Linked DNA regions of Arabidopsis thaliana. The protein of the gene in region 3 interacts with the protein of the main gene of each other region in a biochemical or structural test. Each region holds a gene or a part of one and is shown on either strand. Other genes may lie near its edges.

Evidence for each region.
Region 1: the proteins of PLDDELTA (region 3) and GAPC2 form a complex in vitro, tested with the Arabidopsis thaliana proteins (one study listed by BioGRID).
Region 2: the proteins of PLDDELTA (region 3) and GAPC1 form a complex in vitro, tested with the Arabidopsis thaliana proteins (one study listed by BioGRID).

The regions. Positions count from the first base shown.
Region 1 is NC_003070.9:4,604,651-4,614,463, reverse strand, and holds GAPC2 (glyceraldehyde-3-phosphate dehydrogenase C2), read left to right. Parts: upstream 1-3,585; 5' UTR 3,586-3,969; coding exon 3,970-3,973; intron 3,974-4,066; coding exon 4,067-4,096; intron 4,097-4,187; coding exon 4,188-4,288; intron 4,289-4,488; coding exon 4,489-4,604; intron 4,605-4,695; coding exon 4,696-4,795; intron 4,796-4,881; coding exon 4,882-5,028; intron 5,029-5,128; coding exon 5,129-5,189; intron 5,190-5,274; coding exon 5,275-5,372; intron 5,373-5,458; coding exon 5,459-5,601; intron 5,602-5,689; coding exon 5,690-5,773; intron 5,774-5,866; coding exon 5,867-5,999; 3' UTR 6,000-6,387; downstream 6,388-9,813. Other genes in the region: GT-1 (Homeodomain-like superfamily protein), read left to right, coding at 228-266, 575-709, 948-1,178, 1,266-1,465; ST4C (sulfotransferase 4C), read right to left, coding at 6,879-7,934; ST4B (sulfotransferase 4B), read right to left, coding at 8,598-9,593. UniProt on the Arabidopsis thaliana protein: Key enzyme in glycolysis that catalyzes the first step of the pathway by converting D-glyceraldehyde 3-phosphate (G3P) into 3-phospho-D-glyceroyl phosphate. Essential for the maintenance of cellular ATP levels and carbohydrate metabolism. Binds DNA in vitro.
Region 2 is NC_003074.8:1,076,604-1,086,494, reverse strand, and holds GAPC1 (glyceraldehyde-3-phosphate dehydrogenase C subunit 1), read right to left. Parts: upstream 5,554-9,891; 5' UTR 5,419-5,553; coding exon 5,415-5,418; intron 5,310-5,414; coding exon 5,280-5,309; intron 5,191-5,279; coding exon 5,090-5,190; intron 4,727-5,089; coding exon 4,611-4,726; intron 4,517-4,610; coding exon 4,417-4,516; intron 4,307-4,416; coding exon 4,160-4,306; intron 4,065-4,159; coding exon 4,004-4,064; intron 3,911-4,003; coding exon 3,670-3,910; intron 3,581-3,669; coding exon 3,364-3,580; 3' UTR 2,805-3,363; downstream 1-2,804. Other genes in the region: AT3G04130 (Tetratricopeptide repeat (TPR)-like superfamily protein), read right to left, coding at 833-2,359; GLR1.1 (glutamate receptor 1.1), read right to left, coding at 6,259-6,573, 6,663-6,997, 7,087-7,399, 7,488-8,695, 8,879-9,134.
Region 3 is NC_003075.7:16,950,217-16,961,739, reverse strand, and holds PLDDELTA (phospholipase D delta), read left to right. Parts: upstream 1-1,569; 5' UTR 1,570-1,864; coding exon 1,865-2,806; intron 2,807-2,966; coding exon 2,967-3,116; intron 3,117-3,393; coding exon 3,394-3,588; intron 3,589-3,678; coding exon 3,679-3,984; intron 3,985-4,073; coding exon 4,074-4,142; intron 4,143-4,283; coding exon 4,284-4,431; intron 4,432-4,639; coding exon 4,640-4,788; intron 4,789-4,903; coding exon 4,904-5,053; coding exon of another isoform or gene 5,054-5,059; exon of another isoform or gene 5,060-5,192; coding exon 5,193-5,393; intron 5,394-5,669; coding exon 5,670-5,966; 3' UTR 5,967-6,222; downstream 6,223-11,523. Other genes in the region: NRPB1 (RNA polymerase II large subunit), read left to right, coding at 1-165, 279-350, 457-625; AT4G35785 (RNA-binding (RRM/RBD/RNP motifs) family protein), read left to right, coding at 6,613-6,615, 6,690-6,712, 7,035-7,175, 7,288-7,311, 7,404-7,503, 7,621-7,770, 8,148-8,217, 8,321-8,529; RTFL6 (ROTUNDIFOLIA like 6), read right to left, coding at 8,940-9,128; STY17 (ACT-like protein tyrosine kinase family protein), read left to right, coding at 11,335-11,523. UniProt on the Arabidopsis thaliana protein: Hydrolyzes glycerol-phospholipids at the terminal phosphodiesteric bond to generate phosphatidic acids (PA).

The DNA.
Region 1 (9,813 bases), on a different chromosome or scaffold from region 3:
TGGATTCAGAGAACGTAACTGTGATTATGGTTTTTGTTGCTACTATTTGGGAAAATTCTTATCTGTATCTTAGGCTGAGAAGATACTACATTTTAGAGTAGGTTTCTTATTGTGGTTTTTCAGTTATCTTTAAAGAAGATGATAGTTTTGGTAAATGAATCTGCGTATGTGGATTTTGTGCCTTTAATTTTCTTTTGGCTAAGTGGTAATTTTATCTTTCATTGTAGGTTTTGATGATACGAGCATTTCTTTTGGATCCGTTGAAGGTACTTATCTATCACTATTAGTTTGTTTATTATAGTATCTTGCTATGTATACAAAGAGACGAGCTTTTGTTTGTCTACTGCCTCTTGAAGTTGTCTTTTAAGTTGGTCGAAAACATCTCCCTGAGTGAGCAATAGTAGAGGTATGAACTTGCTTAGTGAAGTGAACATTTGGGACTGAAACAAATAGTAAACATGACTGTGCCGTAGAATTCACAGGCAGTTTCTGTGTTAGATGGTTTAGTTTTGTTTCTAGAGGATGTGTGTGTGTGTGTGTATGTTTGAAAAGTGTATATATATCTATGTTTCAGCTAATGGCAGGCCAGCCTTAAACCTTGAAAGGCGTCTTGATCATGATGGTCATCCTCTTGCAATCACTACAGCAGTTGATGCTGTTGCAGCAAATGGAGTTACTCCTTGGAATTGGAGAGAGACTCCTGGAAACGGCAAGTCCTCAGAAAAAGCTTATATAAACTTAAGCCTCAAAGTTTAATTTTCTATAAGGCTAAAGATATGTTTTTTGAACTGTATGTTTATGTTCCAAGCATGGTGTAATATGTGTAAGAATCCACGTTTTCTCATTTTGAGGTTGCTTCACAGCCTCTGCTCCTCTGCTTGATTTATTCGTTCGGTCTCTTTATAACTGAGTAGAGCTTTTCATTTGTTTCATGTTTATACAAGCAGGTGATGATAGTCATGGTCAGCCTTTTGGTGGTAGGGTCATAACAGTGAAATTTGGTGACTATACAAGAAGAATCGGTGTTGATGGTAGTGCAGAAGCAATCAAAGAGGTAATCAGATCTGCTTTTGGGTTAAGAACTCGAAGGGCTTTTTGGTTAGAAGATGAAGATCAGATTATTCGCTGTCTTGACCGAGACATGCCCTTAGGGAACTATCTACTCCGTCTGGATGATGGTAAGATTAAATTTGCCACTATTCGTATCTTTTGAACTGTGTGTGTGTTTTTTACTGAATTGTCAGTATGCAAAACCCATCTTGCAGGACTGGCCATTAGGGTTTGCCATTATGATGAATCCAACCAATTACCAGTCCATTCAGAAGAGAAAATCTTCTACACTGAAGAAGACTACCGCGAGTTTCTGGCTCGACAGGGATGGTCAAGCCTGCAAGTTGATGGTTTTAGGAACATAGAAAACATGGATGATCTTCAACCTGGTGCTGTGTATCGAGGTGTGAGATGAGGAAATGAGATCACAAAACTTCTTCTCCAATTCTATCAACAGTTATCTGATCAGAAAACAGTCCCCTGTAGATATGATCTCATTCTCTTTATACATTTCTTCTTTTTTTCATGTACTTGCTCAAATATGAAATATCATAACTGGCATTTACCGTACAGACCAAGAAGACCTCAAAATAGATTTTTGGTCTGTTACATTTGTAAGAACAGAACATAAGAGAAGTGAATAAATTGTTCACAATCAGACGAGCGAGTGTTTGTGTGTGGTATCAGAGTCATTCTTCATCCCTTTTATTGTTCTTGTATGAAATGAGTGTGTTCGACCTTGTCAATCTGCAAAGCCAGAGAAACTTTCTGAACTTATACTACTGAGAAAACACTATAATGATTTGATTAACAAACACTAGTATCAAAGAATGTAATTCAACCACTCTCTTGATCCAGGTGAACGGTACAGCCACATCGGTATCAGTAAATGCTCCCAACACAACAAACACACCTTATCCAACCGCCAAGCCGATTAATGTCTCTCTCTCTTACATGTTTCATGGAGACAAGGCAAGCAAGTTATGCTGGAAGCAACTTGTCTCATTATAGCTTGAATCTCCCTCGTGATCTCCTTATTACTTTTCTCCTTTGAGACAGCGTGAAAAGGAGGAAGACAGAATCAAGACAGCATAAACATCACAAACATACAAATGAAACTGAGTTAATTGAAATGTTTATGCATAAATAAACCAACTTCTAGATCTTAAATATCACGTAAGTGGAATAACATTGGTTATAAGCAGATCATCAGGATAAGATTCCAATAGTTAAAGTTTTGCGTCAATAATTGTTTTTGTCGAGAAGGTTTGCATCAATTATTGCATCTTTCTTTCTATCTTTTTTTTTCTTTCTCTTAGAATCGAATTTTAACATATACTTTGATAATGATATATTGTGGTTCTTTTCACTTCACGATTACTTTAGAACATTGTGAATAATGACACTTCAAAATAAAAGGGATAAGATCAGAAATAACATATGAAAATTCCACAAAATCACTACAAATAATTCAGATAATGAAAAAAATACATGTACGTTATGTTATAAAATTCTCAAATATGGTTTTCAGCAAAAATAAATTTGGTTTTTTACTACAAAGTACAAACCAAAGTAAATTGATTTTACAAAGAAAAACGAATTAGAAAATCGTTTTTAAATCATAGAACTTATTCAGTCGAAGAGAATGGCTGACACTTGACGGGTCAGTTATAACTTATAAGTGGACTCTTGGAAATGATCATGAGTTATAGAAAGATCACAAACTTCAATTTATGATATATTGTTGACCTCAGATAATATTTTAGCTATTTATTGGATGTATAAAGATCCATATGAATACCAAAAGAAGGAGTTTTATAACCATTCACCTAACAAAAATGAAATGGAAAAAGAAAAGAGAGCAAATAAGAGGAGGAGAAGAAGAAGACTTTTGGCAAAAGCCAAGAGTCATACCTATTAGTCTATTACATAAGGTGTGATGTTTTTTTTTGCTGTCACATTCCATCTGACCTACCAAAGCTCTCAAAGTGGAGCATCTATTGTGTCTTGGTATAGAGTCACGATTAGATAAATATACAACACCATATGTACTTGTGTCAAATTATAAATATTTGAAACAGTAAGCAACCAGTAATTCGATAAAGACGTCTACAAGCATCTACACATCTAAATTGATTAAAACAAAACACCTTTAAATATAGTGTTTATGAAGTCAAATCTTCACCTTGATTATTCTAAAACAATGGTTGGAGTAATGTTGCTGAATGTTGAGTGAGAATTGACATTTGAGAGTAACTTTCACTATAATGAACTGGATGATAAAGTTGATCCGATAATAATTGAATTTACCATGAATGGTATCACAAGATACATGTATAGAAGACAGTGGTGTTACTTGTTACGCAAAATTAAAAAATGAGCATACTATTGCAGTTACTTTGGATTTATTAAGGAAAATTATGGTTTGACAACAACAATAATACAAAATCTTATGAAAATTAAATAAAAAGAAAAACAAATTTGGCTATTGGCAAAGCTCATTGGCTGTCAAAAGGAATATATACAAAATCTGCTACGTTGCAGTCTTGCGTGCACCGGCCCAGCCCATAGGATTAGAGTATTAAACCTCGAATATTCCATCAGCCTGCGCGTGAATCCAAGCGCCATTAGTTTCCCCAAATCAGTTCTTAATCCTACCCATAAACGATGGGTAAAAATGGTAAATAAGAAAGAAAGTAAAGTACAATATAGTAATATTAATTAGTGAATCTAATCTATTAGCCTTTTTCCCAAGAAAAAATCTCAGCCACTCGATCATATTTTCAATTTTCATCATCACGTTCTTCTTCTCTTTTAAATAACCCTAAATCCTCACCAAACCCAAACCCTCACTCACTATTTTCACATTCTCTTCTCTCTCGATATCATCTAAATCTCTCTCGATCTCAATTTCGCAAAATGGGTAAGCTTCTCGCTCTTGTTGATCTGCGATTCTTCGATTTATTGTTCTTTCGTTGATACTTTTTGAATCTGATCGTAATTTTGGTTTGTGTAGCTGACAAGAAGATCAGAATCGGAATCAACGGTGAGTGTTTTTCTTATCGAATTCCATAAGTTTTTTGGTTAGGTTTAAGTGATTTGGATCTGTAGAAGCTGAGTTTTGAATCTTCGTGAAGGTTTCGGAAGAATCGGTCGTTTGGTTGCTAGAGTTGTTCTTCAGAGGGATGATGTTGAGCTCGTCGCTGTTAACGATCCTTTCATCACCACCGAGTACATGGTTCGTTTCTTCTTCTCTTCGATACTAGTTCGTATCTGGATTTGAGTTAATAGTTTTATCTGAATTTTTGTTAATATACATGATGGTGTGTGCTGTTTATCATATAGATCTGAGAACTTGCTTTGTTGTATTCTTCTTCTATGTTGATTCTCTGTAAATTCGTTTTGACTGATTGTGTATATGGTATCGATTTGTTGCAGACATACATGTTTAAGTATGACAGTGTTCACGGTCAGTGGAAGCACCATGAGCTTAAGGTGAAGGATGACAAAACTCTTCTCTTCGGTGAGAAGCCAGTCACTGTTTTCGGCATCAGGTACATAATCATGGATGATTTTATTATAGTGGTTCTCTGTTATGTTATTGAGAGTTGTGAAATTCTGATTTGTGGTGTTTTATTTTTGAAGGAACCCTGAGGACATCCCATGGGGTGAGGCTGGAGCTGACTTTGTTGTTGAGTCTACTGGTGTCTTCACTGACAAAGACAAGGCTGCTGCTCACTTGAAGGTTTGAACTTGGATCTTTTATATAATAGTCGAGAACTTGTTTATTTAAGATCTATATCATCATCATATTGTTTCATTGTTATTCAGGGTGGTGCTAAAAAGGTTGTCATCTCTGCCCCAAGCAAAGATGCGCCCATGTTCGTTGTTGGTGTCAACGAGCACGAGTACAAGTCTGACCTTGACATTGTTTCCAACGCTAGTTGCACCACTAACTGCCTTGCTCCTCTTGCCAAGGTATCTTTTTCTGTTTCAACCCATAAACTTGTGTAAATTGTTCTGAATTCTGAATTTTAAGTTGAATCATTTCTCTTACAGTTGCAATCTATTTGTGCAGGTTATTAATGACAGGTTTGGCATTGTTGAGGGACTCATGACCACTGTCCACTCTATCACTGGTACGTATTTATATTTGGTTTCATTGGGTTGATTCTTGAAAATATGTATATTTGACTCAATAGTAACTGTTGTTTTGGTGATCAGCTACTCAGAAGACAGTTGATGGTCCATCAATGAAGGACTGGAGAGGTGGAAGAGCTGCTTCCTTCAACATTATTCCTAGCAGCACTGGTGCCGCCAAGGTATCATTTCAGCCTCTTATTTGTTTTAATTGATTTTGATTGAGAAATTATGTTGAATCTGATTTTTGTATCATGGTTGTTGATAGGCTGTTGGGAAAGTGTTGCCATCCCTCAATGGAAAATTGACCGGAATGTCTTTCCGTGTTCCAACCGTTGATGTCTCAGTTGTTGATCTCACCGTTAGACTTGAGAAAGCTGCAACATACGACGAAATCAAGAAGGCCATCAAGTGAGAACCATCAAGGACCCTCAGTCCTAACCATATCATATTAGAATTTATTGGGTACTTACAAAAGATTTTGGTTAAAACTTTTCAGGGAGGAATCTGAAGGCAAAATGAAGGGAATTTTGGGATACACTGAGGATGATGTTGTGTCTACCGACTTTGTTGGTGACAACAGGTATAAAAAATATTGTCTGTAGAGTGATATACAGTTTTCTGATCTTATAAATGGCGAGAGCAAATAATTGAAATATTGGGTTTGTGTTTATAGGTCAAGCATTTTCGATGCCAAGGCTGGGATTGCATTGAGCGACAAGTTTGTGAAGTTGGTGTCATGGTACGACAACGAATGGGGTTACAGTTCTCGTGTCGTTGACCTTATCGTTCACATGTCAAAGGCCTAAGCTTACACCGGCGAGAGTTTGTGTGTGGTTGAGTTCGTACTGTTCTGAATAAAAAAAAGGAGAAAAGAAAACTCGAGTTGTTATGTTTTTTCACTGATTCCATGCGCAGTCATGAGAGTTTGTAGCTTTTGTCTTTTTGCTTTCTCTTAATGTTTCCCTGCTTTATTTACTGAAACCATTGGTTTGGTTTTTTATGTTAATTAAGTTTTTAGTTCATTACTTTCTCGTGCTAACTCAAACCCAACTGGCAACTGGAACATTGAACGTCCTCTTCTCGTATTTTTAATAGTCTATTTGTACTTGAGCTTCTCCACCAAAATGGTTCTTCCTAGTCATATAGCTCACATTAGGTCAATCATCTTCGATTGAAAGCAAAAGTTACTGAGACGGATTTATTGGTTGATAAGCATCGCCACATTGTTTTTTAACGAATCAGCCAAGTTTGTTGAAACGGAGGATCAAAAATTGGAATTTAGTATTTCCTTGCAATTGCGAAGATCCAATTTTTTGGTTGACATCATTGTAAAATGATTGATATTATAATTTTATTTGCATGCTAACTTTTAAAGTTAATAGGAAACTCGTATTTTCAATAGTGACATGTTATTGCATGTGATAATACGATTATTTTATTACTTTATTAGTCGTAAATGAAGAGTAACATGCCACTATTGAAATGGTACTCATGAGATCACACGCTAGTTATTAAAGGAACATAGAAGTAAAGAAGGTTTTTATTGCAACATCAAAGAGAACAAAAACCACACATCAGTTGTAATGATACATCAAAGTTATATATATGACAATGTAACTTTTATTATTAAATAACGCATTCAAGAACACTTTTTCTGCAGTTCTTCACAAAGCACACGCATAATTCTAGAATTTCAAACCGGAACCTTTGAGTTTCTCCTCGACGATCATATCGATTTTATTTACCATTTCAGAGGTCATATAACTCTTCCAGTCACCAACTTGTCCTTTACGGAAATAAGTCTTGTAATCTACTCCACCCAAGGATCCAGTTTTGTTGATCTCCAAACTGCTTAAATTACTTAGAGAGCAAAGTTCCAAGATCTTGTCTACAGTTCCGCTATCTTCCTCTTCCTTAGTGAATGGACAATCCAAGAACTCTGCAAGTCTCTTGACCTGAGTACGAGGCTCCGCTTTCAACTCCTCGTACCTCATGAAAAGAAAATGCTTAGGATCTTCCAAGCTGCCTCGCCAATAGCTCTGTGCATGGTCCCAAAAGGGACCGTGTAGGGTAACTCCGTTGCAGAATGACTCAAATATAGCCTTGAAAGAATAATTCTCCGCTCGAATGATCTTTTCATTTTGGCTAAAATCTCCCCATTCTACTCCCTTGTTGGCATTGAGGAAACACCAAAGTGACACCAACACGTCTTTCACGTTCCTGCACACGTACACTACCTTGCAAGGAGACTTCTTCAAGGGTAGTTTAAGCGCGTCCAAGGACATATGAGTTGAGAACAATCTCGGAGATGATGATGATGATGATGATGATAAGAACTTGGTCAAGTCCGGTTTTGAGCTGTTGAGATACAGATCTAGCTCGAGGTACGGTACTATCTCATGAGGGTTATGAGATAGCAGAGGATGATGATGATCTTCTAACGAGTGTTTTGATCGTTGAACGAGTGCAAATGTGAGTGCTTTGAGCCAAGTCGTGCCCGATTTGTAGAAAGAAGCAACAACTATATCGGTTTCTTGTGGCTGAAAACTCGAGTGTATATTGGGGATTGATTGGAGAACGTCTTCGTAGTACCAATATCCTTGGTACTTGAAAAGCTTGTTCCCAAGGTAATCTATCTCCCAAGGAAGTGAAGAGATCAAAATTTTGGTTTCTTCGCTTTGATTTTCTTCTTCTTCTTCTTCTTCTTCCCTCAAGTTCCTTAGAATATCTTTCTCATCCATTTTTTTTGGTTCTTGTTTTGTTAAGTGAACATTTTAGTTGATTTTAAAGTGCTAAACTTAAATGCAGCATTTTACTAATATAAAATTACGCTCCATTATTGACCTTATATACATAGAACAAAATAATGTTATAATCTTCGACTTTTTTCTAACAAATATTAACCAATCATGTCACTAAGAAATTAAAAAATACTAGTATATAGGAATCTAGTCCATTGTATATATCGTAAACATGGACACTTCACCAACGAACATGCATGGGGTCTTTTTATAAGGTTCTTTATACCGAAACCATTGTTTTGGTTTTTATGATAATTGAGTTAGTTTTGTGGCTTTTCCGTTCAACTAAAAGTCTCATTATGTCAACTGCTATTAAACCGGCGCACATGGCATGTTTTATGAAATTAAGGTCAATTGGACTCCAACTTTTCAATTATTAAAAAAAAAGAAAAATGATTGTTGTATGCCTTGGCGAAGAAGAAAAGCCGCTAGCTTTATTCATTATCAAACGAAACAAAAACAACAACACATCACTAAGAATCTTAAACTCTTAACCTTACATCAAAGTAACTTTTATTACATTGCATACAAGAAAAGAACAAACCAGCATTATTAGGTTTGAGATTAAACCTGTTCCCACACATATACATAGAGATATGAACTCTACAATTTCAAACCAGAGCCTTGAAGTTTCTCCTCAACAATCATGTCGATTTTGTTTTCCATTTCAGGAGTCATATAACTCTTCCAATCACCAACTTCCCCTTTACGGAAAAAACTCTTGAAACTTACTCCTTCCGACAAGCTTCCTGTTTTGTTGATCTCCAAACCGCTAAGGTTTCTTAGAGAACAAAGTTCCAAGATCTTGTCTACACCTCCACTATCTTCTTCTTCCTTTGTGAATGGACAATCTAAGAACTCTGCAAGTCTCTTGATTTGCACACGAGGCTCCGTCTTCAACTCCTCGTACCTCAAGAAAAGCACATGCTTAGGATCTTCCAAGCTTCCTCTCCAATAGCCTAACACATTTTCCCATAAGGGACCGCATAAGTTAACTCCGCTACATAAAGACTCGAACAAAGCCTCGAGACTTAAATTGTTTTCTCCACTCATGGAGTTTTCGAAACACCAAAGTGATACCAATACGTCTTTCACGTTCCTGCACACGTACACGATCTTGCAAGGAGACTCTTTCAACGGTACTTTAAGCGCATCAAAGGACATGTGGGTTGAGAACAATCTCGGAGATGATGATGGCAACTTGGTCAAATCCGGTTTCGAGCTTTTGAGATAAAGATCGAGCTCGAGGTACGGCACTAGCTCATGAGGATTATGAGTTAGCAGAGGATGATTGTCTGAAGTGTGTTTTGATCTTTGCGCGAGTGCGAATGTGAGTGCCTTGAGCCAAGTCGTACCCGATTTGGGGAAAGAAGCAACAATTATATCCGTTTCTTGTGGCTGAAAGTTTTTGTTGAAATTGAGGATTGCTTGGAGAATATCTTTGTCGTACCAACATCCTTGGTACTTGTACAACTTGGTCCCTGAGCAATCTATGTCTGAAGGAAGTGAAGAGATCAAACTTTTGGTTTCTTCACTTTGGTTTTCTTCTTCTTCTTCTTCTTCTTCCTTCAAGTTCCTTGGAATATCTTTCTCACCCATTTTTGTTTTTGCTTTTGTGTCGAGTGTTGTGACTTATTGCAATCGCAAAATTACTATTTATAGTGTTGGATGTTAACGTAGTAGTTGATCAAACACTCACGTTACACACGTTGAAAGCTGATGTGTACAAAACATGTGATCTTTCATATCTTGAGAGATCCTTTATAACGTTCATGAAATAACGTGGTGGTTGATTTATTTTTTTCAACCCGTAATATAA
Region 2 (9,891 bases), on a different chromosome or scaffold from region 3:
TCAAATTAGACGCATCCCTGGTTTGGTTGGAAACAGACGTGGATGTATTATTATTGATACTAGTAGTTTTGTTATTTCGTGCATAATAAATCGACATGTAAATTGCTCTGCCTCTAAATTAATACATAAATTTCGAACAATGTAGACCAAAGAAAAAGTGCCCACTTGTGGCAGCTAACATTTGAGGGCCCTTAATAATAATATCTAATCAATAATTCGTAGTTAAAGCTTAACCATCTTATGAAGTTGAAGAAGACTACTCAAATTTATTTTCTATTAATAATTTCAAAAATATCCCAAAAAATATATTTTGTTTTGTTTGGGGTAATATGGATCTACCTTTCTGTCGGTGTGAACTGTGAAGTGTGGACGCATCCAAATGCACATGTATTTGTCCATAAACTCAATGCTCATTACAAAAAAAAATATGCTCTTGGATCCCACACTTGTGTAAACTCTCCCATAAATTAGTCTTGATGTGAATAAGCCTGCCATAACTCTAGATCTTGAGATGTCTCGAGACCTTTGCAAAGATCGAGTCAAAACAGAAAACAAACAAAACTTGCCTAACCTCTTATCATCAAGAATGTGTCAGATCAATCAACTCCAGAGTTCCAATCTTAACAACTTTTCATGAATACGAAGTCCAAGTTTCTTGTCCATATCCATTGACCAACGAACTTGAAATCTACACTACAATGTGGTTGAATAAACAACACAATGAACATCTTTATGCATGATCTGGTCTTGTCTTCTTTCGCAAGCATGAAGAGACCACTTCTCATCCCAATCTGCGAAGTAACAGTCAAGTCGTCATAATAACTAATAAACCTCACTTTACAGGTGCAGTAAGTTTCACAGTCTTCATAATGTGTTCGATTCTCTCAGCTGATTCATGCATATTCTTCTTCTTGACCTCTTCCAAGAGCAGCAAACAAGTGCGGTGCCTCGGCGTGATATCTTGGCTAATCATCTCTTCGAATAGACAATACGCCCACTCACACATATTAGCTCTGCATAACCTCTGTATCAGAAAAGTATAAGTCGACTCATCGAGGCTGAGATGATGTTTAGTCACCATCTCTTTCAATAGTTTCCCAACCTCAACAACATCTCCTCTCTTAAAACAAGATCTCAGCAGGGGTTGATACGTATGAACATCGGGATTACAAAGGTTTGAACTTTCCATTTCCTTGAGAAGCTCAATCGCCTTATCTTCCTCATCGTGATGACAATACATAGCAATCATAGAGTTATAGGTAGATGTATTAATGGAAACACCAAGCTCTGGCATCTCGACTCTGAAAACCCGCTCAGCTTCTTCTAACCGACCAGCTCGAGCAAGCGTGTGAATCAAACAGTTGTAGAAAAGAGAATCGGGTTTACAGCCGGATCTTTTCATCCTTGTAGCAACCCGTAAAGCCTCCTCAAACTCTTTCTGTGCATTAAGAGAAGACATAATAGTTGTGTAAGTAATAGAATTCGGAGGAGACCCATTAGCTTCCATCTCACTTAGCATTTCATAGACCTTAATAAACTCAAACTGCTGGCAATAACACCTTATAATCGTCGTATAGCTAATAACACAAGGACGAAAACCATGACCTTTCATCTCTTGGATCGTCCAAAGAGCTTCCTCAACTCTATTTGCCTTACACCAACCATGAATGAAGATATTAAACGTATGAGCATTTGGTGTAATATGTGACTTCAGCTGTAGCAAAACTACTCGGGCCTGCTCCACTCTTTTCTCCTTGCAAAGCGTATCGAGCAGTAAGTTCATCGACTCCGTGTTCTTCTCCAATCCAAATTCACCCAACCTATCAAATATTCCCACAGCTTCTTCCCACTCCCCTGCACCAGCAAATCTCCTCATGATCTTAGCAACTGTATTCAAAGTAACAAGTTTATCTCCTCTCATTCTCTCCACAAACTCCTTCATCCGATCCCATTTCTTCGCCTTGCCGAGAATATCCACAGCCATATCATAAGCATCACTCGAATGTTTATGCCCTTTACAAGACTCAGCCCATTTCAAAATACCAAGCGCAGATCTCCAGTCATCTCTAAACCTATGAAGCAGCTTATGAACCAAACCATCAGAAAGATTGACTCTTTTACAGATTTCATCGCTAGATAGACGTTTAAAAACATCATCTTCACTATCTCTATCACCGTCTCTACCTACAATAACATTCCATATCTCCTCAGACTGTGAATATTCATCAAGTGTCTCAGGTAATTGCTCCGAAGCAGTAGAGAGATTCTTGATAAACGTAGAGAAAATAGCGATAGAAGACGAAGAAGGATTAAGGCGTAACAAGGTGTTTCCAATGCGATTTTGAATAAGCCAAGACATTAAATCTAAAACCCAGAACAGGGTTCTTCAACTGCAACCATAGGAAAATCAAATTTTTATCATCATCAATGAAATTTGAATCTTACTAGTGACATATGACGAAAATAAGTTAGACATGAAACTCAAAGATCGTACCTGAAAGATGGAGCAAAGGGAAATTGTGAAAATGACGACGGCCTCTTGCCGGAGAAATTTGAGGAGGACTAATCGCAAGAGAAGGGTTTACGGCCCAAAGTTGGGCTCTCTGGTTTTGGAAGCGTTTTACACCGTCTGGTTTGAAAAACCGGTTAGGCTTTGTGTTTGACCAACTGGGCTTTGGCATTGGGCCTTCTTGTGTCGTATATCAACGACCTCCCCATTTTTTCGATGCGGATGTGTACAAATAATTGAAGTGCCACTATACGTGAATTTGTGTAACATGGTTTAATAATTTGTTCAAAGTACCTTTACAGATGAACACATATTTCGTTGTCTTTATAAACCGCACATCTGTTAATGAATTTCTTATGTTTTGAGAAGAATCAATAACAAAAGGCAACATGAAATACTTTTCATTCAAACATCAGTCTACAAACTCGCATAAATGAGAATCGCAAACATAAAATATAGGTTCCACTTAGAAACTTTTATTCGAAAACTAGAAGAAGCTAGATTAATAAGTGTACACCTCTAGTTCCTTAGATTTGCTACGTCATCATCAACGGGAGCTCATTTAGTTTCATTTTTCGTTCAGATTTGATTTAGTATATAGTTAAAAAGAGAAGTGGAACAAAATTGAAAACCATAACGTTAACTCAATATATCAAAAGCCAAAAACAAAGGGCTTCCAGTAAAACATCGGTCTACAAACTCCCATCACCTCACATGAATGAGAATTAAGAAAACCAAAAAAAAAAAAAGTTCCAAGTTCAAAGAAATTTTATTCGAAAACGACAAATTCAGACCATAAAAGGGGATGAACAGATGACTTTCCACTCCCTATCATTCGAGATCTGCTTCTTAGCTTAGGCCTTTGACATGTGGACGATCAAGTCGACCACACGGGAACTGTAACCCCATTCGTTGTCGTACCATGACACCAATTTCACAAACTTGTCGCTCAATGCAATTCCAGCCTTGGCGTCAAAAATGCTCGACCTGTTGTCGCCAACGAAGTCAGTTGAGACAACATCATCCTCGGTGTATCCAAGGATTCCCTTGAGTTTGCCTTCGGATTCCTCCCTATGTATTGGTGGTAAAAACACTTGGTGAGTAATTTGATCACTACTGGAATATAAGTAAACTTAATCTGTCATTGCTCAAAAGCTTACTTGATAGCCTTTTTGATTTCATCGTAGGTAGCAGCTTTCTCGAGTCTGACAGTAAGGTCAACAACTGAGACATCAACGGTTGGGACACGGAAAGACATTCCAGTCAACTTTCCGTTAAGAGCTGGAAGCACCTTTCCGACAGCCTTGGCAGCTCCAGTGCTGCTGGGAATAATGTTGAATGAAGCAGCTCTTCCACCTCTCCAGTCCTTCATTGAAGGCCCATCAACAGTCTTCTGAGTAGCTGAAATCATAAAGCAAACCCCATTAAATCACAAATTTTCCACCTATAGGCAAGCAAGTTTGTAATAAACTTCTAACTGATTGATAAATTTACCAGTGATTGAGTGGACTGTAGTCATAAGACCCTCAACAATTCCAAATCTGTCATTGATAACCTACACAATGAAATCAAAGAACGTTAAATGAAATTAGTCACTTCAACTTGAAATACAAAGTCAAATTTGATCATATAGAATATCAGATATTTTACCTTGGCAAGGGGAGCAAGGCAGTTAGTGGTGCAGCTAGCGTTGGAGACAATGTCAAGGTCGGACTTGTATTCGTGCTCGTTGACACCAACAACAAACATTGGAGCGTCTTTGCTGGGGGCAGAGATAACAACCTTCTTGGCACCACCCTGAAAATACAACAAGTCACAAATTTAGTTGAATGATACTAAGCAAATTCTAGCACATAAACTATTTATATCATTACAAGACAAAAATAACCAATTCAAATAAGACAAACCTTCAAGTGAGCTGCAGCCTTGTCTTTGTCAGTGAAGACACCAGTAGACTCAACAACGTAGTCAGCTCCAGCCTCGGCCCATGGGATATCCTCAGGGTTCCTTCACAAATACCAAAAACTAATGAGATTGAAATTCACAACAGTTTGTAATATGTATACACGCAAAGAGACAGAGAACTGGTTGATAAATGTACCTGATGCCGAAAACAGTGACTGGCTTCTCACCGAAGAGAAGGGTCTTCTCATCCTTGATCTTGAGTTCATTGTGTTTCCATTGACCGTGAACACTGTCGTACTTGAACATGTAGGTCTGCAGCAATCAAACACAGAGCGCAATCAAAATCAACTCAACCATATCAACTCTAATCACAAACAGGCTAATCAATAACATTACAAACACAGCAAAACAAACAACAGCTCCACAAGTATACTGATCAGCTAAACAGTATGAACAATGAACACTAAACCAGTTTCCAGATCTGTGCACTAATTGAACAAATCATCTGACACTTAAATCCACATGCATAATCCATAAATGATATGATCCATCTATCAAATCTAACGAAAGCAAAGGTACCAGAGCGACTAACAGAATCTTATCGTCAAGAGATCAAAATAATATTGAAGCAAACCAAGATCGAATCACCGTCAAAACCAAGGAAGGAACACTAACCATGTACTCAGTAGTGATGAAGGGGTCGTTGACAGCGACGAGCTCAACATCGTCCCTCTGGAGAACAACTCTAGCAACCAAACGACCAATTCTTCCGAATCCTAACGATAACAGAAATCAACAGTCAGATTCTAGATCTAGATACATGAGAACATACAAACCCGAATTACAAAATCGATTCGAAACTCACCGTTGATTCCGATCCTAATCTTCTTGTCAGCTACATAAAACAACAAACAAAATCAGAAAAACGATCAGATCAGAAAACTCAACAACGTAAAATAGCAGCGACGGGACGAGAGATTAGTAAAAGCGAGAGACTAACCCATTGTAGAATCGAAAACGAGAGTTAGAGAGAGGTTGAAGATGAGATTGGCAGAGAGAGATTTTAGAGTGAGATAGGTGAGTGAGAAGGGTTCCGTGAAGAGGTTATTTAAAAGAGAGAAGAACGTGGAGGAGGGGTCGGAATGATCTAGTGGCTGAGAGTTTTTCTTGGCCAAAAAGTCAGATCTGATTCAATACTTTTCTTAACCTAAAAGACCAAATTGCCCTTAATCATTTTCCTTATTTACCGTTGTAGCTCTGTTATTTTGGCAAATGTCGTCATTCCTGAGGCGAGACATGGCAACTGCATCTCACGCGCTAATCTGGAATATTCTTTAAATATTTAAGACGGGTCGGGTAAGCATGAAACGCAGCGTATTTGGATATGCTTTTATGCGCCGACCAGTGTTTGACTGCCACGAGTTCACGAGCGGCCCATTTTAGTAGACGGGTTCCATTTTCTAGAACGTAACGCCCAAATAAAATTATATTTTAGAAAAGTATATATTTCAAGTTTTCAACTCTTTAGGAGACTTTCTTTAAAAGAAGATATTTGATAGGCGTATATGGACAAGAATTTGAAAATTTTGATTTGATAAGCAATATTCAAAAAAGCAAAAGTCCCTATCAAAAACTCGATTAGTTGATGTATTTAATTCAAAAAATACTTCGTGATGGGTGAATCACTTTAGTATTTACGTGAATTAAATTATTACATGTGAATTTAAACGGGAAAAAAAAACAAGTATTACATGTGAAATTTGTTTCGAAGTGTACTTTGTTGTTACTTATGAGTCCTGTCCCGTCAATTGCTATAGTAGAGCTTATGAACGATGGATCACTTTTTACTTATAGAAGCTTTGAAGTTTGGTGCATAGTCGTGATACCTCTTGACGCGTATGAAAGAGATGTAGGGCTAGTACGAGAACATGAGCAGCTCCCGCAATGATGAACAAACCGCGCAACTCACGGAAGGTGAATCGCTTAGATGCCTCATCATCGTCGTTGGTAGATGCAACTTCCTCGGTGTTGGAATGTACATTTAGTGAATCCAGTTTTTGAAACCATTTTTTCTCCATGTCTTTCAACATTCCCAATGATCTTAGCTTCGCGATTTCTCGCGATACTTTAGGAACCAAATCCGAACCTTTCTGGAACATCTGAGAGGTAAACATAAATTAGTACGTAACAAGAATAAGTAACCAAATAATGGAGAGAAAATGAGAGGTTTGAGGAGAAGGGTACATACAAAGCCAAAGCCATTGGTATTAGTCACTCTATCTGTCATTACGAAATCATTCGGATAATTTCCGATAAGGATACTGAGATAAGGTATTTCATTGATGACATGATTAAGAGTTCCATCTCGCAAAAGTTGTGCATAGGCCTCAACTGCATTAATGGATCCGAGCTTCGCAGTCATTGACGTCGTAGATCCCCCGAAAACCATCTGATGATTTAATTGCATGCGAGAAATGGTCTTGGTTGATGTCAAGTTTGCGCTGTAACTTGAAGTCAATATTAACACCACAAAAACCCAAACTATGACTAAGAATCTTGATGACATTTTCTGTAGCTTCTCTCCTGCCAAGAATGTGCGTAATTTGTTATAGATCAAAATATACAAAAGGATGGGATTTCATGAAGAGTAGTACTCTAACATAAACACTTACTGTGAGCAAATACAATGGTTGAGAAACCAAACCAGAGCATCATACTAAGTTGTTGTCCCCAAGAGCCCTGAAATTCCGGATTAACGGACCGTTCAACTAACCAAACAACAATCCCAGTTAAGACAAAGAAAGCTCCACTTGCTAGCCACAAGGATTTTTCGAAAGGATCAAAGAAGGTCCACATCCCTTGGCTTTTCTTTTTCACTGTCAAGATTCCAATACCAATGTCAGTGTACGGCAAAGTAAAATCAACATACAAAGATCTGTTGGAAGTGATGGTGATATCACCAACTGCTGCATCATACTTGTCTCTCTGTCAAAATTGCAAACACACATTATTAGAAACATACATAATCATTTTTGACTAGAAAAATGTTTTTAAACTGTTTGCATTTTCACACCTGAGTAGAAAGTAGATAAGCAAGATTGTCATTGTTTCCACGGTAAGGTATGAATTCAAGCTCGTAGTTAAAAGGAGCAATGCAAGTCTTGAAAACCTCTACGCAGAATCCAGAGACAGTATTAACACCTGTTTCAGGATCAGGACGCACCGACACTAGATGCGGGACCTTGTTTCCTGCGGTAACTAAGACCCTAAGCACCTTCTTTTCACCTTTCTCTGCCAAAACACGGTGTCTTGGGATCTTACGAGACCTGCCAGGCCAAACAATCTGTCTTCTTTGGCTAAAACTACCACCACTCCATAATCCTATCCTTCTCTGTTTTTCTCTTCCAATATTCACGATTTCAAATGTCTCTGAGATAAATTTGTTGTCAGAGATTTGGATGTCACCACTCAAACCCTTGAATCTACTATGTCTAATTGTATCCAGAAGATCAGCTGATACATTCGAAGATGCTTCAACTTTACCACTTACACTGAACTTCTCTACTGCATTTGCTAGAATACAAGCGATATCGTGTGCGCGTAAACCGATGATTACACTAGAATGCTCTGTTTCTGTATCATCTCCCATACGTTTCCTCAATCTTGAAGTAAAATTCTTAACTTCTTCAGATACAGGGATGTAAGATTTGAAACCAATGACCCCTTGCATCGACCTAGTTATTGCAAAATGTTCCAAGTAGTTCATGGTTCTTGCAGTGAGGATCCAAGCGAACGCTTCTTCCATCAAACCTAACTTCTCTACACATTGGAAGAGACGAGAAACAAGAATCTCGGACATATGCACCACAAAAACCGATGCTCTTGAGACCTTAAGCTTCCTTAGCTGATTCATCATATGATTTTCTCCTGATGATGAGACTGCAAAAGAAGCAGAACGAGCGATATAGATTCCTTTATCTTGAAAATTCTCAACCAATATTTGCAAACTCTCACTCCAATCATCAGCATCCTCGTATATAACCACAACCGATTTACAACTGAAATCTTGTATGAGACTTGTAATTCCCTTAGCCTCTGATGTAGTATCATGCGTCCATTGAATAAAGTTATCGTATTTCTTCAAAGATAACGTGTTTGGCAAGAAAGTAGATATGACCGGAACTTTAGCTTTTTCGCTAATCGTCGCCAAAAGCTTTGCCTCTTGTAATGATTGTGCACCAACAATGGCTTCCGCTTTTGCATTTTTGAGAAGATCAGTAGCTGTTTCATACAAACACAAATTGCAGTGCAAAACGGTTAGTGCAAGACATGAGAATGTTAACCGGAGTAAACCGGCGGGACTAGGTCAATTCTTTTTTATTTGATTCAGTCTGCTTTAAATGAAGAGGAGTTGTGGATCCCACCAAAAATTGCAATAATTGAATAAGGGAGATGAAAACTCACCGGCGGCAAGAGCAATGATCGGGTCTCCTTGGGAGTCTCTGACCAAAACAGAGACTCTGGTTCGGTATCCATTGTTGATGCCATAGAAATCTGAAAGCGCTAAGTTAAAAGAAGTTTCCAGAATCTTGCCTTGTATAGAACTCAAGTCAACCACCAATCCAACCCTAACCTCTTCGAAAACATCATCGTCGCTTGGAGCAGCTACTACTCCGGAAAAGAGAAGAGCAAGAATGGAAATAGAAAACAGAATCTCCATATAATTTCTTGTATAGCTCTGTAACGTTCGCTTTGGGTTATAAACAATGGTGTTTCCATATCTACTTGTGCCATGGAATAATAATTATACTGGACCATTTTTTTTTTCCGGTCAAATTGCATTTTGATTTTCTGAAGTGTATGGTCACAATCATTTTAAATCAAACTAACGCGATATCGCACACAATCAAAGTCAATGTGTACTGTTCATCGACACAAATTGACTAGGAAACACATTTATTTCCTTCTAAAGTATAGTTGAGCCTTAAAAAAAGTTTTATTTAATTTATGTTTTCAACAGTTACTTTTAAAACTGATTTCAAAATCCAGGTTAAATACAATGTAAAATACATATGCAGGGGAAACCATAATACTAGATATATTAGCTTATTTCGCAAAGTCAATTCGTAGAAGTAAATATTCGAGTTCAAGTGATAGGACAACCAAGTGATATATAATAAAATCTACCACAACCCGAGAAGCTAAAAAAAATCACAAGCTGGTTAGTTCAACTCGTCGAGGAAAAATCAAATCAAGAGATTAAAACTCTAGTCTAGGATGATCCCACAGTCATCTCCTTCTACAATCATTAAATTATTACTCTATCGAAACCACACGCTCGCGAATACTTATAGAGTACATGTGGAATGAGATAACGTTACCAGGGAGATTAGGAGACTTGGCTTATAGAATACTTATGGAATACATCTCCCTCGCGACTTACCTGCGCAATGAAAACTTTTTCTCGTCTTGTTCAA
Region 3 (11,523 bases):
CAGCCCTACTTCACCAAGTTACAGTCCAACATCACCAAGCTACGGTCCTACGTCTCCAAGCTACAACCCTCAGTCTGCTAAATATAGCCCATCTATAGCTTACTCTCCTAGCAATGCAAGACTATCACCAGCTAGCCCCTACAGTCCTACATCTCCCAACTACAGGTAAGTAGTAATATCTTAATTTTTACACTTTCTATGAAGCTTCTCTTATCTGTTGTGGTGATATTGTGTCATCTTCTCTAATCGTTAACTCTTATTAAAAATTTACTCTGCAGCCCGACATCTCCATCATACTCACCCACATCTCCATCTTATTCACCTTCAAGTCCAACATACAGTCCCAGCAGGTTTGACTTTTACCCGCTTGAAAATCTTGGATCTGTTGTAATGCATCCATCTCAATTGAATTCCGCAAAAAGTTTAACTGGGTTGTTGTTATTAAATCTGTCTCAGCCCATACAGCTCAGGAGCAAGCCCAGACTACAGCCCAAGCGCAGGCTACTCGCCAACACTTCCCGGTTATTCACCGTCATCAACGGGTCAGTATACCCCACATGAGGGCGATAAAAAGGACAAGACTGGAAAAAAAGATGCCAGTAAGGATGATAAAGGCAACCCTTGAAAGAGAGTGAGAATTGGCAATCCATGTTTTAGGTAACGTCTAAATCTCTTGGAACCATTGGGGTTTACAAGTCTTACTAGCTCACGAACTTAGCCACTTGGGATATCGTGTAACCCGCAGGTCATGATTTAAGAGACAGTGAAAGCTGAGAAAAGGAAGGGACCGTTTCAAAGTGATCTTCTGTGGATAACTTTGTGAACAAGGTTTTCTTAATAGATCCTTTTTTCGTGAGTTGTATATTATTCCAAACTGATCCATAAATCCATCCAATCCTCATCCCCCAAAAAGAAAATAGTATAAACATAGAAAAACGAAAACATATCAGACTTTGGGCTTTTCGTATGGTTTAGTTTTTGGCTTTTTGCTGTGTTGTTCTATTTCAGAAAGTAAACATGTGAAACGGTTCATTTGTAATCCATGAAAGGATTCTTTATGTTACTGCTGTTGCTTCATTGAGTAGATACGAATCGAGAATGCCTTTTTTCCTTGTTTCCGACAATTATCGATTGACGTGTGACCACTTTAAAAGTTTAAACAGCTCGACTTTCCAATATGGGTTTATTTCTTGTTTTATCCACACCATTAAAGAATGGTTTTTGGGATTTTTATTTATGTGATAATTAATCATTTTTCCAAATTTTATTTTGTATATAATAAATGAAGCAAATGTTGGAAAACTATCCAATGGATGTGGTGGGTTAATATCACCAGATTCGCATAGCTGGTTTTTGACTTGTCTTCTTAATTATTTGTCCAGAAAAAGAGAAGAACTCTTCACATCATCATTGTCAACTTTAGCATTATTGTATTAGCTTTTTATTTCTTTACGTCTACAAAGCTATTGGTACAACGTTCTAAAATCAAATTCGTCATCAGTAGATTTTGTAAACTAATTAAGTAAAGTTCAGTGATTAAAGAAGCTAGATGAAGAACGTGTGCAACGACTCCTCTGAGATCTACACGGAATAATGTCGTCAGTGAGCAAACAACTCCCATCACGTCGTCCCTCCACCTGTCCTCTCTTCTCCTTCCTTGCTTGTCTTTCTCTCTCAAATCATTTCACCTAAAAATAATAAATATCTTTCGTTTTCTAAAGAAAAAAAAAAAAAAAACTTTTCAAATTCATCTTTGGTTTCTGCAGCAGCAACAACAACCGAGCCCTGTTCGTTAGGGTTTTCGGTTTTTGTTAGCTTTTCTTCTTCTTCTTCTTCGTTTCCTTCCACCTGAATTGTTGTAACCATGGCGGAGAAAGTATCGGAGGACGTTATGCTTCTACACGGTGACCTCGATTTGAAAATTGTTAAGGCTAGGAGGTTACCTAACATGGATATGTTCTCAGAACATTTGCGCCGTCTCTTCACCGCCTGTAACGCCTGTGCTAGACCCACCGATACCGATGATGTCGATCCCAGAGATAAAGGCGAATTCGGTGATAAAAACATCCGTAGCCACCGTAAGGTTATCACCAGCGATCCTTACGTCACCGTCGTCGTTCCTCAAGCGACTCTAGCTCGAACACGTGTTTTGAAAAACTCACAAGAGCCTCTTTGGGACGAGAAATTCAACATTTCTATAGCGCATCCGTTTGCTTATCTCGAGTTCCAGGTCAAAGACGACGATGTTTTCGGTGCTCAAATCATTGGCACGGCTAAGATCCCGGTTCGAGACATCGCATCGGGAGAACGCATTTCTGGTTGGTTTCCTGTACTCGGTGCTTCGGGAAAACCGCCTAAGGCAGAAACTGCTATTTTCATCGATATGAAATTTACTCCGTTTGACCAGATCCATAGCTACCGATGTGGAATCGCCGGAGATCCGGAGCGTAGGGGTGTTAGACGGACTTATTTCCCTGTGAGGAAAGGAAGTCAGGTGAGGCTTTACCAGGACGCTCATGTTATGGACGGAACGTTGCCGGCGATTGGGTTAGATAACGGGAAAGTTTATGAGCATGGGAAGTGTTGGGAAGATATATGTTATGCTATATCTGAGGCTCACCATATGATTTACATTGTTGGTTGGTCTATCTTCCATAAGATTAAGCTTGTTAGGGAAACAAAAGTTCCAAGAGATAAGGATATGACGCTTGGGGAATTGCTCAAATACAAATCCCAGGAAGGTGTTCGAGTTTTGCTACTTGTATGGGATGATAAGACTTCTCATGATAAGTTTGGGATAAAAACGGTTAGTGTTTTCACAAGTTCTTTGGATTCGTATTGCTATTTTTGAGCTTTTGGATTACTAGTTGTAATGTTAATTGGAGTTTCTGGTGAGGATAATTTATGTTTTGACAGGTTATTTGGTGTTTTTGACATTAAGATGTTGTGTGACATTTATTTTGCAGCCTGGAGTTATGGGGACACATGATGAGGAGACTAGGAAGTTCTTCAAGCATTCTTCTGTGATATGCGTTTTGTCACCCCGGTATGCCAGCAGTAAGCTTGGGTTGTTCAAACAACAGGCAAGTCCTAGCTCTTCTATATATATCATGACAGTTTTTGTTTGGTATGATGTTGATATGTTTTAGCTAAGGGGGTTTAGTCCCGCATGATGAGGGTTATTGCAAAGTTGGAAATTAGTTAATGTGGATGCTTACTTTCAATTATAAGAGATGTTCTGACTCTAATCCATGTCGCACCATTGTTTCTCGATTGTTTAGTTAAAGGCTCTTTCAACATGTGGGTATCAAAATGTTATGTCAATTTCGGCTTTGGCATAGTTATTATCTTTCCAAGGGATATCTTTTTTGATATCTGATGTTTAATGGCCAGGTTGTTGGAACTCTCTTCACGCACCATCAAAAGTGTGTTCTTGTAGACACTCAGGCTGTTGGTAATAATCGCAAGGTCACCGCTTTTATTGGAGGTCTAGATCTTTGTGATGGCCGTTATGACACACCTGAGCATAGGATACTCCACGATCTTGACACTGTATTTAAGGATGATTTCCACAATCCTACATTTCCAGTAAGTTTATTATTATATACCGGCTGTTATCAAGCTTGAATCCTAATTCTTTAGTTATTACTGATACATACTCTGTTTTTACTTCCTCAGGCTGGTACCAAGGCCCCAAGACAACCTTGGCACGATTTGCACTGTAGGATAGATGGGCCTGCGGCATATGATGTTCTCATAAACTTTGAGCAGCGATGGAGAAAGGCAACACGATGGAAGGAGTTTAGCTTACGTTTAAAGGGGAAAACTCACTGGCAAGATGATGCTTTGATCCGGATAGGGCGTATATCATGGATTCTGAGTCCAGTGTTTAAATTTCTGAAGGATGGTACTTCGATAATTCCAGAGGACGATCCATGTGTTTGGGTTTCTAAAGAAGATGATCCAGAGAACTGGCATGTTCAGGTCCTTGTTGATTCCTTCCAAACTATACTTATTTCATGTTAACAAATGTTGTTGATTTGATCTAACCACGCGGTTTCTTTGACTTCTAGATATTCCGTTCTATCGACTCAGGATCCGTGAAAGGATTTCCAAAATATGAAGATGAGGCTGAGGCCCAGGTTGGTCAATCAACTTATTTGCTATTATTAATTATCTTCCTTGAAGAATCACCGTTTATTCAATGAAATTTCTCTTTATAAGCCACCACATGGTATAGAAATTGCACTACTTACAAAGTCTTCAATATAATTTAACTGCAGCATCTGGAATGTGCCAAGCGTCTTGTTGTAGATAAAAGCATCCAGACTGCATACATCCAGACAATCAGATCTGCTCAGCATTTCATATATATCGAGAATCAGTATTTCCTGGGTTCTTCTTATGCTTGGCCTTCTTATAGAGACGCAGGTGCATTTTGATCTTTGAGTACAGTTCTTAGACTAGGAAATAAAATACTCACATTGCAGACAGCATGAAGTCTAGAATTGTTCTCAGTTACTAGTTTTGTATTTGTGGCTCTATTTTCACCTCACAGTTACCTGAACTGTATTAAATAAAGCTTAGTAACTTTTTCACCCGCGGATTTTCTGATTCTGTGTTCGTCTTGTATGAGCAGGAGCTGACAATCTTATTCCTATGGAGTTGGCACTAAAGATTGTTAGCAAAATCAGAGCTAAGGAAAGATTTGCCGTATATGTTGTCATACCATTGTGGCCTGAAGGCGACCCAAAGTCTGGCCCTGTGCAAGAAATTCTATATTGGCAGGTAACTTTGTTTAGCTGAGTGTAAGATAAGTGCCAATACCAAAATAGGTTGTTCCATTTCTTTAAAAGAGAAACTTACATTCTGCTAAACATCTTCTGTTCTTTTCATTTCGTAGAGCCAAACTATGCAGATGATGTATGATGTTATAGCAAAAGAACTGAAAGCGGTGCAATCAGATGCTCATCCTCTCGATTACCTTAACTTTTACTGCCTTGGTAAACGAGAGCAGCTTCCAGATGATATGCCAGCCACCAATGGCAGTGTGGTATAATCTTCAAACTTCTAAGACTAAGAATGTTTCATTCACAAAAACTGTAGCTTACAGATAGATAAATCATACATAAAGTTTCCTGTAGTAATCAGTGGAACAATTTCTTTATGATCATTTTAACTGCATTTTTCAGGTATCAGATTCTTATAATTTCCAGCGTTTCATGATTTACGTGCACGCAAAAGGGATGATAGTAGATGATGAGTATGTACTCATGGGATCTGCTAATATCAACCAAAGATCTATGGCAGGCACCAAAGATACTGAAATCGCCATGGGCGCATACCAACCTAATCATACATGGGCTCACAAGGGAAGACACCCACGTGGCCAGGTTTGCCTTCCTCCTAACATCTTCATCATCATCATCTATATCATAACCAAACCTCAAAAGTGTCTCTATATCTACATGGGGAAAGTTTCAAATTCCTGAATCCTGGATTTAAAAACAGTAAAGAAATTTGGGATAGCATTCGATCTTGCGAAAAAAATCACGTTCTTAGATACTTGAGAGAACTTGTGTTTCTACTCCCAGATTCTTGAACCATTATATATATTGAGTCTTCGTAAGACATAAAGAGCTTGATGATATCTCTATCTATCTACACAGGTGTATGGATACAGAATGTCACTATGGGCAGAGCATTTAGGCAAAACTGGAGATGAGTTTGTGGAGCCATCAGATCTGGAATGTCTGAAGAAGGTGAACACAATCTCTGAAGAAAACTGGAAAAGATTCATAGACCCGAAATTCTCAGAGCTACAAGGTCACTTAATAAAGTATCCTCTACAAGTAGACGTTGATGGTAAAGTAAGCCCTCTTCCTGATTACGAGACCTTCCCAGATGTTGGTGGTAAGATCATTGGAGCTCATTCCATGGCTCTTCCTGACACTTTAACCACGTAATGTGAATGTTCAATGTAAATTTCAGCATTTGTTTTGGGGTTTCTTTTGATCCTGAATAATATTAGCTGAAAGTGTTGTTTGAGTTGTTGTACATTTAACTGTGTTGTTTCTTTTTTATACATTCTTTTGTGATTGTCGTCAAATATTTGTTGGGGTGCAAAATGTAGAGATCGTGAGTGAGTGAAGAGGCAAAATAATTTGAGGATATTCTATTTTTCTCGGTTTTCTTTTTCAAAATCGGATAATGATGCTGTGTAACTGCGTTCAAAACAAAATTTCTGCTTCGACTTTTAATGTTAAGATTAGATGTGCCTATCGGTTCTGTTTACCCGAACCAAACCGAAGATTCATGGACACTTAGACAGATCAAAATATTTAATTAGCGGTATTAAACCGAACCAGACCGCAGACCGGAAATATCAATCCGGGACTGATTACGATTATTGTTATTTTCTTTTGTTGTTGCAGACACCATAAGAAACGTGAGTCTTGCTACATGCAATTATTGACTCTTGTAATAGTATAAAATTTTATTGAATAATTCATCTGTAGACAAGGGGGAAAAGAAAGACTGATTTTACGCTTTATTGCTCTCACTAAAACCCTAATTCTCTCCGTCTCGATCGCGACCTCTGTTTCTTCGGCAATGGTAAGCTTCCACGACTAAGTCTCTGTGTTCTTCTTGATCTTCGAGAAATTTGAGGTAATTACTTCGTTTTGCAGGCGGATTCTCCTCAAAGAAGAAGGTTAGATTCAAGTTTCTATTGCTTCGCATTTCGGAGCTGTTATTGTTCCTAAATCGTTCTCTTTTGTTTTTTTACATGTTTCAACAATTTTGAATTGCATTACATTTGCGTAGGGTTGTGAATCTGACGAATTGATTTTGGGAATTTTGACTTTTTAAGATCTAGTATTGGAGTCTTTTTCTATGTAGTTGTAGTTCTTCTTAATTATGTTTTGTTGCAAATGCTATTTGATTGGGTATTTGTAGCTCAGAGGACTGATAAAGAGCTAAATGTTTCTAAGTAACAAGTCTCAGTGTAATCTTTTACTTGATTTCTGCATCAGGGATTCACGATCTCCTTCACCCCGAAAAGAACGAGCTAGATCCAGATCCAGGTCTAGGTCCAGGTCTAGATCCAGGCCCAGGCTTAGGTCCAGGTCAAGATCTTTGCCAAGGCCTGTTTCTCCATCACGAAGCCGTGGAAGGTTAGTTATTGCGCAGTATAGGGTTTTCTTATGTAGATTTTGGGTATGTCACTGAAAATTTCTGAAGAATATTGCGTGGTAATCTTTTTTTCATTACCTGTACACTTTGTAGGTCAAGGTCAAGAAGCCGTGGAAGGTTAGTTCCAGCTTTCTCCATATGAGTTTGCATTCTCTTGTTATCTGTAATTCGTTTGATATTTTTGCGATATTTTGAATTTTGGTTGACAGAAGTGAAGTTGAAAACCCTGGTACCACTCTCTATGTGACTGGCCTATCTACAAGAGTCACTGACAAGGATCTTGAAGCACATTTCGCCAAGGAAGGAAAGGTGATAACATCTATACCTGATTCTCATTTCTCATACTACCAGTTTAAGTCTATTTTGTGTCTGCATTTTTGGGCATATAATCTTTGATCATATAGTTTACCATTTTCATTTCCATAGGTTGCGTCTTGTTTTCTTGTGATGGAGCCGCGCACCCGTGTGTCTCGTGGTTTTGCCTTTGTTACAATGAGCAGCCTTAAAGATGCTGAGCGGTGCATTAAATATCTCAACCAGTCTGTACTAGAAGGCCGATACATAACTGTGGAAAGGGTAAAATTTCATGCTCTACTGATTTTGGTGGTAGTTTGAGATCATTATTTGTTGACTTGGAGGTTTTCTGATCATTCAGAAAATATTGCATCAAGCAACAATCAGAGATGATAAGAGTACTCATCCTTGCTCAACATCATTAAGTGAAACACAGCTTGATCAATCGAATCGCCAGCTTAAACATAATCATAAGCAACTATATTGCCTCAACTCTCAACTCTCAACTAGTCAAAGGACATTATCAAGTATCAACAACTATTAGTCAAGTGTTTCTCCAGCCTAGGATGCATCTTGTTTCCTTGAATATACCTATGGCTTTTCTAGATTGAAAGTTGTGTTCCATTACATGAGCTTTATGTACTTTGTGCTTTCTTCAGTCCAGGAGAAAGCGCCCGAGAACTCCCACCCCAGGCCACTATCTTGGCTTGAAAAGCTCCAGAGACAGCGGTAATTGAACATTTCAAACCTCGTAGTTATTATTGAGTCTCTCTCTAGACAGATGAAAGGTTGCTAACTGTTCCGTAATCTTTTTGTTGTTTTGATAAAAAAGATCGAGAAGGCCGTAGCAGTCGAGGGAGGCACTATGATCGTGATGATTACAGAGACCGTAGGTCACCAAGACGCGACTATTCACCTCGTGATGAAAGAAGGTCTAGAAGAGATCGGTCTTACTCTCCTCATGGAAGAAGCCCAGAGAGAAGATCAGAGAGAAGGTCTGAGAGGTCAGAGAGAAGGTATGAACCCCGTGGCTCGAGATGACCTGTTTTCATCCTTTTGACAAAGGATTCAAAAACTTCTCTGTTGATTTAGGTTGTGTAATTGATCATCCTTAAAATAGCACAAAGATTCTGTCAGGCAACGCTTTGGGTTTCATTTATTTTCTGTTGTTAACGTGTTATTCTGTCGGAACTCTCTGAAGTGAAAACTAAAAACTGTAATAGCTTCTCTGTTATGTCTCTACTCTACTTGTTTTTGAATGAATCAGAATATCTTATGTGATTAGAATCTTTAGATTGTTCGCAATTTTTTGTTAAACAAAAAGGTGGAGATACCAAATTAAAGCTTGAAAGTTGAAACTTAACTAAAAACAAAACCCCAAGTTGTGACCAGAGACAAAAATAATCAATCGTATATACTTGTTTAATTATCGAATACTAACACAAACCTCATCAAGAATTGGCGTATTTGTGCCAACAAAGCAACATAAGAATACATCTTCTAGCTATATAAAACCTAGAACGTCTCTCCTTCACCATGGCTAAACATCCTTTATTCCTCCTCTCCATTGATTCTCTGCAACATTCTTCTTCCCTTTTCCTCTTTCTCCTCATCTTTGTCGCCGATGAGCATTGCCCCATAATTGTTCTCTTCTCTTTGATTACTTCGTTTCTTCACACTTTTACGTTATTGCTCTTTTTGTGCTCTACGGAGAGATGATTTTTCGTTATAAAAGACAAATGGAAGAAGAAGAAGAAGAAGCAATATTAAAGGGACCAAATGTGAAAAGAGTGGAGAGGAAAAATAAAATGAAAAAAGACTATAAATAGAGGAGTGGTGGAGCAATGATGATGCGATGACGTTCAACATCATTAAGTTCTTTCATTTATTTACGTATTCGTAAAGAAAATATATTATTTCATTTTGCATATGTACTTACGCGATTAAACAATTCCACATTACTACGCTTTATCATTGTTACTTAAATCGTTTATTAGTGGAATAATTGTCTTTGTGTCTAATACCATAAAAGATAGTACTAAAGTCTTCATATGACTAGATCATCCCTTCCGTTTTTTAACGTTAATTCGTATGTTACATTTCAAATCATTTATTGTGGCTTATTAAAGATATACTATAATGTAAGGATCGGAGAACTAATGGTGATCATGTAATGAAAGACAAAACATTGTCACATATATTGTAATTATTTTTGGTTTTCGTTATTAATTAATTGTTAGTATCTTCCGGATTTTGATTCATAAACCAACCAAAAACGCGTCTCAGGTGGTTTTAGCGTACCCGACGTTGCAACTGGCTTATCTTTTTCCTACACGTGTCTTCCTCTGGTTGGTATTATATCATACGTGTAAAATGGACTTTTACCTTAATTAACCGCATCTTATGGTCATCAATTCATTTCTTAAGCTACTTTTTTAATTTATTTGTATGACTTTTCTTATCGTTACTTATTTGATTAAACCTTTCTTACGCCATTTTTTTTTCTCGACAAGTATGTTGCATGAATTCATATTGGAGAAAAATTAAAGATCAAATAGGATTGAAATTGTTTGGTAAACCGCATCCAAAACCGCACCGCAACAGTGCTGTAACAGTATCAAAATCTCTACATATACATATGTATCTATGTATTTTCGTTACTATTTGAACCGCACTGCACTTTTTCCGCACCGCAAAATGCAGTCACCATTCGGACCCTAAGTTTAGTTATAAGAAGGGCTTCTTCGTAAACGCAAAAGCAACGTACGTCAGCATGAACTGGTGGAAGAGAATAAAGTATCTGGAAGAAGAGAAGGCAGTAGTGACCAATCATTGGTACTTGATTGGTTTACGCCACGTCATCACACTTTCCTTTCACAGCTGTATAATATTCCCCTCTTCTTGTTTTTTCTTGACAAAAAGAATAAAAATCATTTTTTTCATTTTCTTATTTTTATTTCGGCTGATCATTTTTCCAGTTTCTGGATACATTTTATGATTTTAATTACCGAACCAGATATGGGATATGGTTATAAGCGTCGTCATATGGATATTGTTGTCGCCATTTTCATTTTGTCTTTAACTTTGCGAACGTTGCCCACTTGCCACTTTATTTACTTGTGTTAAAGTGTGTAAAATACCAACACCAAGCAAATATGGGCCACAAGGCCCGACAAAAATGATCTGTTGCGTTAGGATTGAAATTTGAAAGGCCTATTATCATTTAGGCTCACTCGTACCTCGTACGTATTGCTATTGCCTATTGGTTGTAACAAGATCAACTTTTATGTAATTACCAATATTAAACTTATAGTGTTATACAACAAATAGTGAAATAAAAACAAACATGTCCATTAATATGTCATCATATTTGTATCATAAGTAGCAAAACATAAAAAAAAATATATATAAAAAAGTCATCACCATCCACCATCATCTCCTTTTCTTTTTGCTTCATAAACATGAAAACCACCATACATTTATCTCGAAGCCAAAAAAGCAAAACTGTCCATTATCCATTTAAAGCATTACAATAACTAAAAAAATAAGAGTATTCTCGTGACCCACACTCATATGGACCCTACATAATGACGTGGATGAGTCCTACGTGTTACACAACGAAACGTTCATGTCCTCCCTGGCTTTCAACCCAAACTCATACATTACACCCTCTCTCTCTCTTCTCTTCAATTTCCGTCTTCTCACTCTCTAATCTTTTCGCCTTTAGTTGAATCTCTGGGATCATTCTACCTTTTTGTGGATTTAGGATCGAAGAAGAGATCACTCCTACTGTTGAATTCTGGTTTTACTTGAGAGAGTTTTTCAATTCTGATCTGCTGTTTTGCGATGGCGATCAAAGAGGAGACGGAGGAGAGTTGCGGAAGCAGAGCCGTGGTAGCTTCAATAACGAAAGAAAGCCCTAGACAGCACCGTATGAAACTGGAGGTGTACGGTGAGGTTCTTCAACGAATCCAGGAATCCAATTACGAAGAAGCTAATTTCCCTGGTTTTGATGATCTCCTCTGGCTTCACTTC